Linked DNA regions of Tamandua tetradactyla. The protein of the gene in region 1 purifies or fractionates together with the protein of each later gene. This does not show direct contact. Links are inferred from orthologs where the notes say so. Each region holds a gene or a part of one and is shown on either strand. Other genes may lie near its edges. The genes, in order: BCL10 and baculoviral IAP repeat-containing protein 3-like.

What was found.
Region 2: the proteins of BCL10 (region 1) and baculoviral IAP repeat-containing protein 3-like purify together in Homo sapiens (affinity purification with western blotting; 5 studies listed by BioGRID and IntAct, with this or other methods). This does not show direct contact. The link is inferred for Tamandua tetradactyla from reciprocal best matches to the Homo sapiens genes BCL10 and BIRC3.

The regions. Positions count from the first base shown.
Region 1 is NC_135337.1:39,768,748-39,776,988, forward strand, and holds the start of BCL10 (B-cell lymphoma/leukemia 10), read left to right. Parts: upstream 1-5,191; 5' UTR 5,192-5,459; coding exon 5,460-5,516; intron 5,517-8,241. UniProt on the Homo sapiens protein: Plays a key role in both adaptive and innate immune signaling by bridging CARD domain-containing proteins to immune activation.
Region 2 is NC_135334.1:40,516,697-40,524,519, reverse strand, and holds the start of baculoviral IAP repeat-containing protein 3-like, read left to right. Parts: upstream 1-4,599; 5' UTR 4,600-4,782; coding exon 4,783-5,629; intron 5,630-5,737; coding exon 5,738-5,837; intron 5,838-6,178; exon of another isoform or gene 6,179-6,220; intron 6,221-7,823. UniProt on the Homo sapiens protein: Multi-functional protein which regulates not only caspases and apoptosis, but also modulates inflammatory signaling and immunity, mitogenic kinase signaling and cell proliferation, as well as cell invasion and metastasis.

The DNA.
Region 1 (8,241 bases):
GGGAGTTGGAAACTCCCATGGTAAGTTTTCTGGATTTTCTTTTTTCCACCTCAGGCACATGAACTGAAACCTTCTGTCTTGCACCATGAAATGCTTGACTATCCTGGCTTTCTCTGAATCACCCTTTGACCTAAAACAGCTAGCTCAGTGTATATCTAGCAATTAAGAACACTGGCCTTGCTATCAGACAGAGCTGAGTTGAATCCTGATTCTGCTACTTGCTAGGTGAGTGACCGCAGGCAAATCATATTCTCTAAGCCTCAAACTTCTCATCTGTTAAGTGAGGAAAAGTAAATCTGTCTAGAAGGACTGTTACAGCAATTAATGATAGTTAGTGAGCATTTTTCCCCAGGCAGTTGTACAACTGGGAGATCGAGCCTCTCCCGCTGGTTCTCCTGTGGGTTTATGAGGATATTGACGATATCCTCCCCTTGACGATAATCAGGGCTCCATGTCCCAGAAACACGCAAGCCTCTAATACCAGGTGTCTACCTGCAGTCTCCAAACCAACCAGGATGGTGGAGGAAAGGATCCAGTTTCCTCATCAAGCCCAGCAATGCCCTGATCTTGGGGTGCACTATGAATGTCCTCAGAGCATTCTCATGCTGGGTCCTTCCTTCCTAAACTGGAAGCCCTTCCTGGGGGCAGGATCATCTGGAGCGTTCACCAAGTCCGTGAGCTTCTATCTCGGAATTTCACCAATATTGTCTGCAAATAAAACACAGGGATGCCTCAGAACTGGCTACTTTTTCTTCCAGCTGGTTATAGGAAAGTTATAGCTCACAATCATCTGGAATAAAATTTGTTGTTCAACATAGTATTTTGTACCTGGCAGATATTTAATAAAACTTTTGAAATAAATCATTAAGCAACAAAAGTTCCGCCTATTGAAATCTACTTGGCCAACCAAAATACACCTCTTTCCTGTCACCTTATCAGTCAAAAGTGACTGATTACATTCATCTCTTCCTTTACACTCTTATAAAAGCTATTTTTTTCATTAAGTGTTTATTATTTATTCAAGGTCATACAGCTATTAAGTGGCAAAGCCAGAATCCAACCTAGGTCTGTCAGATGCCAAACGTCCTCATTCTTAACCACAATGATATGCCACCTTATTTTCTTAGCACATAAACTGTATTATTCACACTACATTTATCAGATGCCTTGTATTTCACAGCACAAGGCAGGATGGTGTACCTAGAAACCTAGACACAGAGGTAGGGATGAAGGGCATACTAGGGGATGGGGAGGTGAAAATATTGCAAATAGGGAATAAGCGGGGCTATTTTCTTGGAAATATGCCCAACCTTCACTACAGTCTGACCCTGAGATTTAACAGAGAAGAGGAAATGAGTTTGCATATTATGAAATGTGATACATTAGAAAGAAAGCAGAATTGAGAACTGTAATGCCTGCCACAAACCAGCTCTTTGATTAGGTACTTGACATTAGGATGCGGCCCCTTTGACACATGATTTGACCCAGGAACCTTAAAACATGGCCTGGTGTGGTGGCCCAGGGTCAGGACCCCCTCCCTTGGGAGATGAAGGCTTAAGTATGCAGCAGCCGGTGTGATCAGAGCCCAGACATTATTGTTAAAGCAATTAAAACTCCCCTCCCCTAATCACTGTTGGTAATTAACTGGCTGAGACTCTGCTGAAGCTTCTTTGTAACAGATATTGCCAGGCTTTGCTGAATCATATAAGGTACTCTTCCTCTTGTTTTGGGGATCACTGATTTCCATTTCCTGACCAGTCACCATCAGAAAGAATCGTTTCCTGTTAGTAAGTCCCAAATGAAACCCATATCTAACTCTCTGCTGTGTTCTTTGGTCTTTGGGCTGGGCTGGGCTGGGCTGGAACACCTGGAAAGCAAAATATTAAACTTTCAGCTTTCAAAAATTCCTAAGATTCTCACTCCACACCTGAGTGTCATCCAACGTCGGCTCTTCAGTCCATCACCAACCCTATTACTGGCACCTAATAGGCACAACTTTTTGTTGAATAAATGAATAAGTGAATGAACATCAAGGATGGAAGAAGGGCATGGCTGCACGTGTCAGAAAAGAGATGATGGACCCAGAGGGGCCAGCCTCTCCAAAACATCAACTAGTGCCATTCCCCTATCTCATATTATTGACAGCTCTTTCCAACATGAAAAAGTTGGAATGGACATAGCCTAAATACCCCTAAAGATTGGGAGAAGGCTCAAAGGAGAAAGTGGAGTTATAACAGAGAAGATAGGATTTAACAAATGAATATGACTGCTGAATTATTGTATTGAATAATACAAATCCTATTTCTTTTAGTCTCCAGTGTCTTGGAGCAGCTAAATGGGAAAACCTAAAATTGTGGAACTGTCAAACTCTGAAATCTGTTCTATAACTAATTGTTGCAGTGTGCTTTGAAATGTATTACTTTTTTGTATATACGTTATTTTTCACAATAAAAAAAGAGAAATATAACATAAAAAAAAGAGAGAGAGATGATGGTCAAGGACAAGGAAAGGGTCAGAATCAGAGTTGTCTACCATTAACATTTGATAGTCAAAACCCATAACAGAAATAAAGGTGTCAAAATATCAATTATTTGTTAATTCATGGTAATGAGTGTGGGGTGTTTGTAATATAACTCTTTTTACTGTTTGGTGTGTTTAAAATATTTCATTTTAAAAAGAACAGTATAACAGCAACTTCAAAATGACTGGACCAAATGGGATTCACCAAACTGGCAAATCATTTGCTTTAATTGGGGGGAAATCACCTCTTTCACGAGCAAAGCCGGTGCGGTTCATTCCCACACAACCCTTTAGGAGAGAACCTGTGGAAATACATCTGAAAAGCCATAAAATATTCATTTCCTTGGTTGGGAGCATACTCCTGCCTCCTGATAATTTAGGCAAAGAAAATAATAATTCAAAAGAGAATAGCATAGGAAATATGTAGGCAAAAAATTTTATAATTTTTTTATAACCATGGAAGATTGGGAATAATGCCAAGGGAACAACGGGGCAGCACTCACCACTGCTCCCACCTGGTAGAGCCACTCTCCTGTCTGTCTAAATCCCTACAGTGGCCTCCAGCTGGTCTCCATTTTTGCTCTTGCTTCTACAGTCAGAGTGATCCTAAAGGAAATCAAAGTGCTTCCTCATTTCTCTTCAAATTGTGTTTTTACAAGCATCACAGCTAGCTCTCCTGTCTGAGCCACCACCTCTAGGGCCTGGATTAAAGAAGAGACCCCCTAACTGGTCTCCTCCTTTCACCCTCCTCCTCAACAAAAATCATAAATCAGATCACACCACTCTTCTCCAGCAGCTTCCTGTCTGACTCAGAGTAAGCCCGTATGATTCAGCAAAGTGGGAGAAAACTCTTACAAAGGAACACAAGAATCTCATCTTCTGCTCACCCCTGACTCCATCCCAGCCACCCCCGGAGCCTTTCATTGGCTGTTCCTTCTATTCACAAGGCTCTTTCTCCAAATATGCACTCCCTCACCTCCTTCAAATCCTAACCAAAATCCCACCTTTTCAGGCAGGTCTTCATTGGCTGCTGTGATGGTCCGGAGCTATGTACCCCAGTAGCAAATAGTTCTTAAACTTAATCCATTCCTGTGGGTGTGAACCCATTAGAAGCAGGACATTTGATGAGGTTACAAAAGTTACGATGCGGTCCAACTCAATCAAGATGGGTCTTAATCCGATTACTGGACTCCTTCAAAAGCTGAATGTAATGCAGACACACAGAGAGAAGGCCATGGGAAGCAAAACACTGAAAGTCAAAAGAACAGGAGATAAGGAACAGGGACCCCAGACCTGGGATCACTGGCAGTCAACCCCAGAGTCTTCAAGACGAAGCATTGCCTTGAGTTGGACTTTTCCTAGCCTCAAACAGTAAATTATTAAATTTCCATTGTTGAAGCCAATCCACTGCATGGTATTTGCTTGAGGAGCCAAGGGAAACTAAAGCAGACACACTATTGTAAATTATTGTAAATGAGAAGCCTCATCCTGCTTCTCCATTTTATTTTCTGTTTATCATCTTCTAATATACTAAATAATTTACATAAATTTTTTCAAATATGTATCTTCCGTTAGGCCTAGACAACAGAAGATTTAGCAAGCAGAAAAAAACTGTACTTGTATTTTGTATCAATGTGGAAAAAGACATGACATAATGTTAATGCAAAAAAGCAGAATCCTTGGGTTGTGATTAAAAATGTTTTGGTGCATTTTGGGGAACACCTCTTTTCTGGTTTTTTGCTTCCCCTGACCTTAAACATTGGCTTTCCAAGTTTGTCCTTGGTCTCCTCATTTTGACCTACCCTTGTGGCTTCAAAAACTATCCAGTTTATTTAGTATGTCATCCAACTTTCCTCCTTGGGCGTAGACCTCTATTCTCAGCTCCTCACCCACATTTCTCAGGTTGCTTTGCATACTCCTCTATTCCTGAGTGGAATACCATTCTGGGAATAACTACTGTTCATCAATCTCCCCCACCCCCAAATGTGGAAGAACCCTTACAGGAGAAGCTGCCAGGAACATATTAGTAAGTACCAACTAAATGCTTGAGTAATACAAAATAATACTAATAAGTGCTTATCCCGTGCCAGGTACCTACAGCTTTCCATGTATAATTTAATTCTCACAGCAGTCCCATGAAGTAGATCTAACTCCACTCCACAGATTTATGAATGAAGAAAAACATGTTTATAAACGAACAGCCACCGAGAAGGATGCAAACGTTTAATTAGATGTTAAAGTGGTGGGAATGAGGTGGTTCTTTTTCTTATTTCCCCAAATTTCTTTAATACTGCAGTTCTGTTCCGTGTGTGCGCGTGTGTTTGTGTGTAATAACAACTTAAACATTTGAATGGGCAAACACAGCAACAGGAAATTATAGAACCCGGTCAGGAAAAAAGGGAGGAACCCGAAGGTACTAACAAACCTACACCCAGCGTGAAACGCCTGCCGCCGTGGGCGGTGCCAGCCAGCTGAGCAGCAACGGATCCCACCCACGGAAACGATTCCTTATTGGGAGGCCAGCCTCCGGCCACATGCAAATGACCTGCGGAGGTGTAGCTTGAGGTGACGTCAGCTGCGGGTAGAGCCACTCCTGAAAGGCTCCGGTGGGAGGCTTGGGCTGATTGGCTGTCGTAGTGACGGGGCGGGTCCTGCCGAAGGCCCAGCCTCCCGAACGGGCGGCGCCTGCGCCTGAGCCTCCCTGGACAGGGAAGGAGCCTGGCTTGGATCTCCGCGTCGCGGCGCGTACGGTCTGAGGCGCCGTCGCCCCCAGAGGGCGACCCCCGAGCCACTGTTTTCCTAGGGGCGGTTTTCTTCTTCGAGACCCGCTCCGCCTCTCCTTTCCCCCTCTTCTCGAGGTTATCGAAGCCCCCAGGTCTGGGAGGGGCGGCGAGGCCAAGCTCCCGGACCCGGAAGAAGAGCCGTCTCCTGCCTCTGCCATGGAGCCCACCGTGCTGTCCCTCACCGAGGAGGACCTGACTGAAGTGAAGAAGGACGTGAGTAGCGCAACCTTGCCCAGGCGCCGCTGGTATCCGGGGGTGGGCGGGGGCGGGCTGCAGTCCCACGGGAGAGGGAAGCAGAAACCGGATCCCGGAGAAGAGCCTCTGGGTGGGAGGAGCGAAAGGTCTGGGCTCTGGAGGATCGCGACGAGCCCTGCGACCAAAGGACCTTGCTGGAAGTGATCCCTCGGTGATTTGTTGATCCACATTTTCGAATCGCTGAACACAGGATTAAGGTTTCTGAAACTTTGTCCAGTAGACCTTTTCTTCGTAGTCAGCGTCTTACCCGCTCATGATTTTACCTCCCGGCTGTGCTTACGAAGCTCCGTTGTTGGGGATCCTCATCCTTTTTTAAAAAGTCATACTTCCTAGGCTGTGAACCCAACGTAGAGCAAAAGCTGGACCAGAAAAAGAATCCGAAGCAATGGAGCAAATATGTGAAACTGTTTTGCAAAGGGGATTGAGGGAAGCTCAACAGCTGAAAGCGCAACCTGGAATTCCCCTAGTAAGCAAACGCCCACGTATTTAAATTGAGGGGGGTATGAATACATGTAGCAGAGAATTAATTTACAGGTAAACGTTGGAAATATTCTGTAGCTAAATTAATTTCTTCTGCCTGGATGTTGCAGAACTGCACAAACCTTAATACCTATTTGTACGAATGGCTTTGTTGAGGTATGATTTGCTTCTTTCTTCTTTGTTTTTAGTTACTTGGTTTTTCATTTGAGACCTGTAGGAATACTACTAAAATGTTTTATACTAATTCAAATTAAAAACGGAAACAACATAATGTATGCTCTGATTTGACATTGCAGTACCTTAAGAATACAATCTTTGTGAATTGTGAGGGAGAGGAACTTTTTTAATGTTCATCTTTTTCAACTCCCTTCCTCTTCCCTCCCCAGTATTGTTTATTACACTGTGCTCATATAGCATGACTCATTAGCAAAAGGAAGCTGGAAATTAAACTGTATGACTAGAACTTGTGCCTTAATTTCCTTATCAGGTATTTATGGGACACTTACTATCTGCAAAGTACCATTCTTCTGCCTAGGATATAAAAATGAAGATAATACCCCTGCTTTATAATCTAGTTGAGATGAGACTGGGACATTGATGACTACAGTGGATTTTCATTATTTGTGGTAATTATGTTCTATAAAGTCCTTGAGAACTCCTAATTATTGAATACTGAATCTTTATTCCTAGGGGAAATACAGGGTTAGGTTCAAGCCAGCCTTTGGTTGCAACGTTTTCTTCAACCGATCAATATATTACTTTGATTTATATGTATGTCTCTTTAAAGACACATTACTTCATTTATATTGTTGATTCATTAGCAATGAATTCATGGCCAACAGCACTGTAATTCATGCTTGAGCAAAGCTTATCTAACAAATATATTTTCTCTGTGAGTTACATCACAGTGCTAGGCAGCACTGTAGCACTACACATGGAGTTCATTTTAAACAGCGAAATCACCAACAAAAAGCACAGAAATGTGACAAACATGGCACTTAATAAACCATGAAAAAGACGTTGTTAACAATATGAGCTGAAACAGGAAGGTAGAGCATTGCCTTGTTTGACCTCTGCTGGAAATGTGCGCATCAAGAACTCAATTTTTTTTACTATTCTGCACATCTATGAAAGAATGGGAAAACTCCATGAATATTGATTTGGGGGTTATAAATAAATTTTTCTGGGTAGGCAAATTCACAAATGTAATCAGCAAATAATGAGGACAATCTGTACTACAGAATGAGTTTTGTCTTGTTCAACATGGATGCCAGTAAAACCAAGAACTTCAAGAACTAAGCTTACAGAGTTCCATAAATGCTCCCATTTAAAATCTTTACAAGAACCTGTAAGGGAGATATTGTTATTCCCATTTTATAGTTGATGACTGGGCAATTACAAGTGAGAGGAGATAAAACTATACAAATGCAGATGTGAAGAGTGGGTTCTTTGCCTTTATTTTTATGACTGTTCATTGATGTTCTCCATCTCCATATTTTCAGTTTGCATTTTTATCAGAAATTCATAACCTTGGGGAGACCGTGGATGGATTTCAGGAGGTCTATGAAAAAAAATCTTGAAGATTTTCAAAATGGTTTTTGACCTTAAGTTTTAAAATTACCATCCACTGGGTGGCAGATGATGGCGCAGTGGCAGAGTTCTTTCCTGCCATGCTGAAGACCCAGGTTCGATTCACAGTGCCTGCCATGCCAAAGAAAAAAAAATTACCTTCCACATATTCAGACTTCTCTCAACTTTAGCCCTGTATTTCTAATTATCTATTGGAAATCTTTCACATTCTGCAAATTCCTCACTTGTCTAAAATTGATCCCTCCCCCAAAGCAGCTTGCCTTTACTGCTGTATTTTATATGGTGATGAATGGTATACCACCATCCATCTTCCTAGAAATTCCAACTTCTTCCCATCTAGTTATTTAGCTTATCTTTTAGGGGTTGGATTTAGTTCAGTTTAATAAATATGAATTACATGCTACTGGGAGGGCTGATGCTGTAGTTGTTTCTAACAGTTCCGAAATTAAAAACTAAAACAGTCATTTGAAAATATCTTGATTTCTTGGGAGAGGGAGACAGGTAAAAAGTAATAATTAGAAATTACAAAATAAGTGTAATGAATTATGTATTCATCCAAAACATATTTACTTGGTACTCTGTTAAAGTGTAGTGTTGAACAAAACATTCCTGG
Region 2 (7,823 bases), on another chromosome or scaffold:
TTTGCTAAGCTTTACTTCTTCAACAAAAATTCTTAATGTCTAAATTATGTGCCAGACCCAGTGGATGCTGAGGGGCATATAGAGCTGAAACACAGATCCTTCTCTGAAGGGGCTCACAGTCTAGAGAAGTAGAAAGGCACACTTACTCCCAGGTGTCAGAGATGTGGATATGCTTTCAAAGAGATGGATATGTTGAGTGTCCAAGAGGATGGGGACACCTGACAGCCCAAGAATGGAGAGGGTTGCCCACCAGGAAAGAGATAGTAAGAGAAGAGGCTGAGGATGTGAGTCAATCTGAGAAGGAACTGCTAGAAAGGAAAGAGGAATTCTGAGACTGGTATTAGAGAAGCCAAGGGAGGAGATCATTTCTAAGAAGAAGTGGGTCCCAGTGTCAGATGCAAAAATTTCCGTTGATTTGGCAAACAATTAACTGGTGTCATTAATACAGTTTCAAATGGTGCTGGCTAAAGCAAATTGTAGTGGCTTAAAGAATAAATAGGAGGGGGGAAAAGTGGACACCTTAACAACAGTTTGGTTCAGTTTGCTTTTGGCTATGAAAGGAAGGTTACATACCAGATCGTGGCTAGAGTGGAAAGTGGGGTTCACAGAGGAAATTTTTGTTTGTTTTCATTTTAAAGCTGAAACAGACTTATGCATGATTGTCATGCTGTGAGAAGAGAGATAGTAGAGAATGAGTTGAAGACATGAGGGAGATGGGGTTAAGAGCAATATTTCTGAGGAGTGAGAGAAGACAGGATCCCATAATGGAACAAGAGTCTGAGGCAGCAAGTATACTGTGAGCTAGAAAGACATGGATATGACATTGTGAAAGGACACTGCTCAAAGATGTTTCTTTGAGAAACAGAAGGCAAAGCAATCAGTTGAAGGTGAGGGGGAGTGTAGAGACATTTGAAGAACGGGCTGATGGTTTAGAAGAGTGGCATAAGGCAACTCTTATGGGCTAGGGAGCTGATTAGGGCAAAGTAGAATTGCTGAAGGATGATGAAGGGCCAGCCCAGGGGGAGTCCCATTCTGCAGGGTGTGGCTGTTCACCAGCTGACTTGGAAGCCTAGGTGTTAGAAATGGTTAAGACAGAAGGTTGAATTGATCGAGGGTTGGCATCTTGACACATTTTTGGTATATTTATTGTATATTTGCTGCCTACCATTTTTACAAATACATGCTTTGTTTCCACACCAAATCTTCTTTAGGGTAAGAGCTATGTAAAGGGTTTGCATACTCAAATGCATAAGAGGCCAGACAGGTGATATGCACAAAACTGTGTGTTTCTCTTTTAAACAGAATCATACTTTGTTTATGTAGTTAACCTGAAGGGATTGTCTCCATTTCCATAAAGATGTGGTTCTCTCTTATTTTTGTCAAAACCTGTGTCTCTCATGGTCTAGCATTCGTTTTTGTGACTCTTCATAAACACGGGTATTAGAACAATTTCACCTCTCTCTCAATTCTGTATAAGAAAAATAATAGTGCCAGTCCAGTAATAAATGGCAACTGATAGCCTAAATATTAGGTGGTCAAAATACAGTGAGAAACTGGAGAATGGTCTGTCTGAGGGGTCTAGCCACTACTCAATTCTAGCCAATTGGCATCATGCAGGAATTTGGTCCAGTGTTGCCAGACCTTCTGATTTTTCAAAAGAAGCTTGAAATCTAGAATTTTATGGGTAACTTATTACTTTTAAAAATTAAAACATTAAAAAATGTATTTGGAAAACTGGTGAAATTCAAATAAAGCACAATAGACTAATTAACAGCATTGTATAAATATTAGCTAACTAGTGTTTCTAGATGGTAGTTTATGTAACCTTAACTTTGGGGAAGCTGGTTATAAGCTATGCAGGAACTCTGCATCAAGTTTTCTCCAGGTCTAAAGTAGTTTCAAAATAGTTAAAAATTAGTAACATACTGTTGTCCATTTCTGTGCAAAGTGAACATATCTCTACTGGCCACCAATTAGAGACCTTGTGTCTTTGTCTGGGATTTCTTCTCACCTATAGTTCTTAGAACAGTACCTTGTACTTCATAGACAATCAGTAAATACTAGTGCTCTATTTTGAAGAAAATGTTTTTTTAAAAAAATCATTGTGTCATATTTCATGGACTGACTTTTAAAACTTTTGTTTTTTTAACAGGTTTTACCAGAGAGGAGAACTGTTCTACTACTAGATTGTTTTCAATTTCTTCTATAATTAAGAATATCTCAAAATGGAGGCCTAAAACCCATAAAAGGGACTTAGTCTAATCTCCGGGAGGTAGTTTTGTGCATGAATGAAAAAAACTTAAGTAGTTGACTTAATTTGGTTTACAAAGAATGTAATTTTTTAAATGAGTTATTTATATGAAGTATAACTATAAAGTAATGAATTTGATTTTGTATTTGATTTGTGGAAGTAAAGGAGAAGTGATTGTAGCTGGAGCATATTATTAAAGCATTCATTTAAAATTTGGGTAAGCAGTCTTCCACTGGCTGCACTGTGTAATAGAAAAAAAGCACCTGTATTTGGTAAAGATTTAAAAATGAGCGGCCATTATCTAGAACAAAGAGTTAATATTAAACCCTCTGTTAAATTAGACAAATATGCAAATAAGGCCTCTGACAGGTTAAAAGATTTCTATGATGGCAAAGAATGTCAAGTACAAAATTTTTTGAGAGGTATAAAAATTTAGAGAAAGCTGGAAAGATAAACATGATAGTTGAAGAAATTACTCAATCACATGAGCACTGATAATATTGAAAGTCTAAAATTCTGTTTGTTTAAATTGCTGAGAATGATGAGAATGAGAACAATGTCTGGGTGGTTAAATTTTGGTAAGGGAACAAACTTAACCAGAAAGAAAGTTTACACAAAGACAATGATGAATACAGGGGTATTTTAGCACAATGTAAAATGTTTGACTAACTGAAGAAATAATGAAGTTAGACACAATGATTCCTCCTGGGAATCACAACTGGTAATGAGATAATGTTTCTCTTGCTATCTGGACACAAAGCATTGAAGTCTGCAGTAGAAAACCTCAACATCTGTGACAGCCAGGAAACCATGCTGGCAAATCACTGGTGGAAAAGCAAACAGTTTATTGGTTATTGCTGGTATTACCGTAGACTACCTGTTTACTAACGGCTAGTTAGGCATAACCGAGAAATTCTGAATTTTGAAAAGGGCTCAGCTGTTCAGAAGAAGGGGATTGTGGTAAAGTAAATTTATTAATTTTTGTAATGACATATTCTGGGTCAAAGTTTACTATCTGTGAACTAATATCTAACCAAGTTTCTGTGAAGTAATTTCTAGTCAAAACCAAATCTGCGCAATTTGATTATCCATTTTAGCCTAAAGACTACACATTCTATGACTTTTGACTGCTTTAAAAATAAATTCGTTATCAGAGTAGAATATTTGATGTTAGCAAATTAGAAAAATTAGACATTTAGAAAAGCAAAGTTCAAAAATGTACATGGTAGACATTGTGCAATGTGTGGTTTGAGCAGGTGATGTAAGGGAATAACTCTACAAAGTTAGTTCTTTGAGAGGGACAACAATTAAAAATCTTTAAAAGTCTCATTATTTTAAAGCCATATTTAATTATCTTAAGCAACGTGATAAAATGATTTTTCTAACCAAGGGAACATTATATCATGATTCCGTTTTTCCAAAATAATCTGAATTTAAGATTCAATTTAAATTGCATATATTGATAGTTTGTGGCAGAATCTCCATTTGCACCACCTGTTGTCTATATGATTATAAGAAAAACTGTCAGTTTTAATCAAGTGTACCATTAGAATGAAAAACAAAAACAGCTGACTTGCCTTAACAGCATGAAGTTGGATCCAAAAGACTAATTGAGCAAAATACATTCATTTCTGATGATTTTTTTAAATAGAATTTTTACTTTACCAAGACCTAATGGTATCATGAGGACTAAGGAGTCAAGTTCCTTATATATGAAGTAGTTTTAATTTTTAGTTTATTTTAGTTTTAAACTTTAATTTTCCCTATTAAAAGAATTGAGGGAGGAGAAAGTATCTAATTATCTAAGCTGTCACTTTCAGATACACTATTATTTTATGTGCCTCTAAGAAATAATGGGAATTAAAATATGAATATACCATTAATTGTAAGAAGCCTCTCAATAACGGGGATATTAAAACATGTTTTAGAAGTGATGAAATATGGTAATGTATTCTTTTGAGGTAAGTCTTAGGCTTTTTTTCTGGCTACCAAGTTTAACAGTCTACAAAAACTAAAATAAACATAACTTCAACATTTTTGTTGTAGAACACTTGTGGAGCATAGCTTTCCACCATGAAAAGAAGCTAGCTACATGAGTCAGATATTTTATCTTTAGGTTGGCTGAATGCCCCTGAAGCACTTTAGTGGCCTGAAAAGTTGACCTGCCTATGAGATGCTTGATATTGATATTGGTATTCTGATGACCTAAAACACTCCCCCTTCAACAAAGGGTTTTTAATTTCCATCACAAGCTACCATGTAGCATCATGTTTACATGTGTATATGTATATATAAAGATTATACAAAGGAACAGTTGTGCATAATTGTCCCTTTAAAGTATATGTCCCTTTAAAGTATAAGTATAGGATTTAGAATCTTGCCATGCTGAAACTCTAAATTTATAGAAGAAAAAGAATGATTTCACATTCTAGGCATTCAACCTTGTACTGAAACTAACAAAATCAAAAGCCATGCACAAAACTACCTCCCCAGAGAAAGGCTAGTCCCTTTTCCTCCCCATCCAATTCACCATGAACATAGTAGAAAAAAGCACATTCTTATCAAATTTGATGAAAAGTGCCAACACGTTTGAACTGAAATATGACTTTTCATGTGAATTGTACCGAATGTCTACATATTCGACTTTCCCCACGGGCGTTCCTATCTCAGAAAGGAGCCTTGCTCGTGCTGGTTTTTATTACACTGGTGTGAATGACAAGGTCAAATGCTTCTGCTGTGGCCTGATGCTGGATAACTGGAAAAAAGGAGACAATGCTATTGAAAAGCATAAAAACTTGTATCCTAGCTGTAGCTTTATTCAGAAACTATGTTCAGTTAACAGCCTGGGAGCCACCTCACAGTCTTTCCCTCCTTCAGTAAATTCTATACATTCATTACTACCAAGTTTGGAAAACAGTGGATATTTCAGTGGCTCTTATTCAAGCTTTCCATCAAATCCTGTAAATTTCAGAGCAAATCAAGATTTTCTTGCCTCAAGACAAAGCTCTTACAGTTGGGCAATGCATACCGAAAAAGCGAGATTACTTACTTACCAGATGTGGCCATTGAGCTTTCTGTCACCAGCAGACCTGGCAAAAGCAGGCTTTTACTATATAGGACCTGGAGACAGAGTGGCTTGCTTTGCCTGTGGTGGAAAACTGAGCAACTGGGAACCAAAGGATGATGCTATGGCAGAACATCTGAGACATTTCCCAAGCTGTCCGTTTTTAGAAAATCAGCTTCGAGAAACTTTGAGACACACAGTTTCTAATTTGAGCATGCAGACACATGCAGCCCGTTTTAAAACATTCTTGAACTGGCCATCTAATGTCCTAGTCCATCCTGAGCAGCTTGCAAGTGCTGGTTTTTATTATATGGGTAAGAAACTTAATCTGATAATAATAAAAATGTTCAATACATTTTAGCTTATAAATTTTAGTGGGCAAGCTATATGTGCTTGTAAGTTCTCCTCCAAATTAATTTTAGGACACAGTGATGATGTTAAGTGTTTTTGCTGCGATGGTGGACTGAGGTGCTGGGAATCTGGAGATGATCCATGGGTGGAACATGCCAAGTGGTTTCCAAGGTAATTGTTTTGAAATTCTCTGCAAATTTTTGTTAGTCTCAAGGGATGGGTTCCATTTGTCTACTTTACAATTAAATGGCTGTTACTTTATTTTGTCTTTATTTTGAAAATACATTTGTGAATAAATTTTTGAATGAATTACTTAGAAATAGATTTAAAAGGTTTTGATGGAAATTAAGGATGAAAAAGAAATAGGTTTAGATTTTGTTTAATTTTTAAAATATATTTTCCAAAGATAAAACATGCTTATTATAAAAACACAGTCATACATTTTAGAAAAGTACAAGGGAAAAAAAATAAAATTGTCCCCAAATCCTACCACCTAAAGATGATCATTTTTACCGTTTGACTGAACATCCCTCCAGACATCTGTGCCTATGTACCTATGTAGATAAATGAATACAATTTGACATAAAAATGAGATATAATGTTTTGAAAATTTTTTCAGTCAATATTATATCCTGGATATATTTCCAGTCTTTTAACATAATTAATTGAACATCTATTGCCAGGCCTGCTCTAGGTGCATAAACTATACCAGTTGAATAAACAGAGACTTGGTCTCATACACATGTTTTATAGCAGGGGAGAGAAGACATTTAATAAAAATGTAATGAGTTACGTAGCATATTAAAAGATAAATATTTGGGGGGGGGAAACGGAGAGCAGGTTAAAGGGGATAAGGAGTGTCAGGAAAGTTGCAATATTAATTAGGGTGGTCAGGGTAAATACAGACCCACCTAATCTGTTTTAATCACTATGTAGAACTTTTTGTCATGTCTTATACTTTCGAGGATCTCACTCTTTTGCACTCTTTTTTCATCTAATTCAATGATCTTTAATTACATTTTTCATGGTCAAAACTTTTATTATTATTGAATGTTGATTATGAAACTTGCTATCATATTTTCATTATACATATCTTTACATAGTACTCTATCTTCATTTCTAGCATCTTTGTGCTCCCCAAATATTGCAGATTTTAAAAATTATGAAGATTGTAAGGAACACTTATGTAGTTCTTTGAAAGTTATGCTAGCTTTCCACTGTGGTAATTTTGTGAATATACAAATGTAAATTTGAAAATATGCTTTGATACTATCATGAATTTGTTTGATGCTCTAATATGACAACAAGTATATATTATCTAGGAATTGACAAACTTGTGACTATCTTATTAGAATATGACTTTTTTTTGTCTCTTGTTCCTCTCGCATGTTCTCTGCTCTCAAATCTATAATGGAGATGAACCGTGTCACTTATCAGAGAGCTGCTACATGTCTGTTTTTAAAGTCTTTCTTCAGAGCATTTTTAGGAATCTTAGAGAAGAGCTGAAGAGAGCAGTTAGGGGTTCTGAGTGGCAAACTGCCAAGGTTGAAGTAAGAAAAGGGTCATGAGGCTCCCAGTCTACTGTACTGGGTGTCATACTGTAAGGCTGTCATAAATCAGAGGTATATGTGTGCATGAGTGGGTCACAAGCACTCACCATTTAAGGGCTTTTGTCTCAATTCCAAAGGAAATAAACCAATTAATCAAAAGCATTAACTGAATGGATGCTATTTCTGGCCCAGTAAGTCATTGCTGTTGACTCTGAGGTAATTGCAAATGAGAAAGAAAACACCAAAAATAGATTTATAAGCTTAAAATTAGATTAAAATGAGCATTCATATTTTTTCTATTTTGAAAACATTTACTTTTAGTTTTTAAAATTTTTATCATTACAATGTATTTAAATTAGAGATTAGAATTTAAAAAGAACCAGTTGAAGTTGAGGATATGGAAAAAAAATACTAAAGGGAAAAAAGGCTGTAATTTCCAAAAGTAAAACTTTAAAAAAAGTAAAAAAGGATTTTATTTATGAAGAGGGAAGAATATTATCTTTCTCTGAGTACATATATATAATATCTTTGTTCATAATTAGTTCTTAGGATAATTTCTTATGGCCTACACATATGTATAGAGAAATCATTTCCTTCCTTCTTTCCT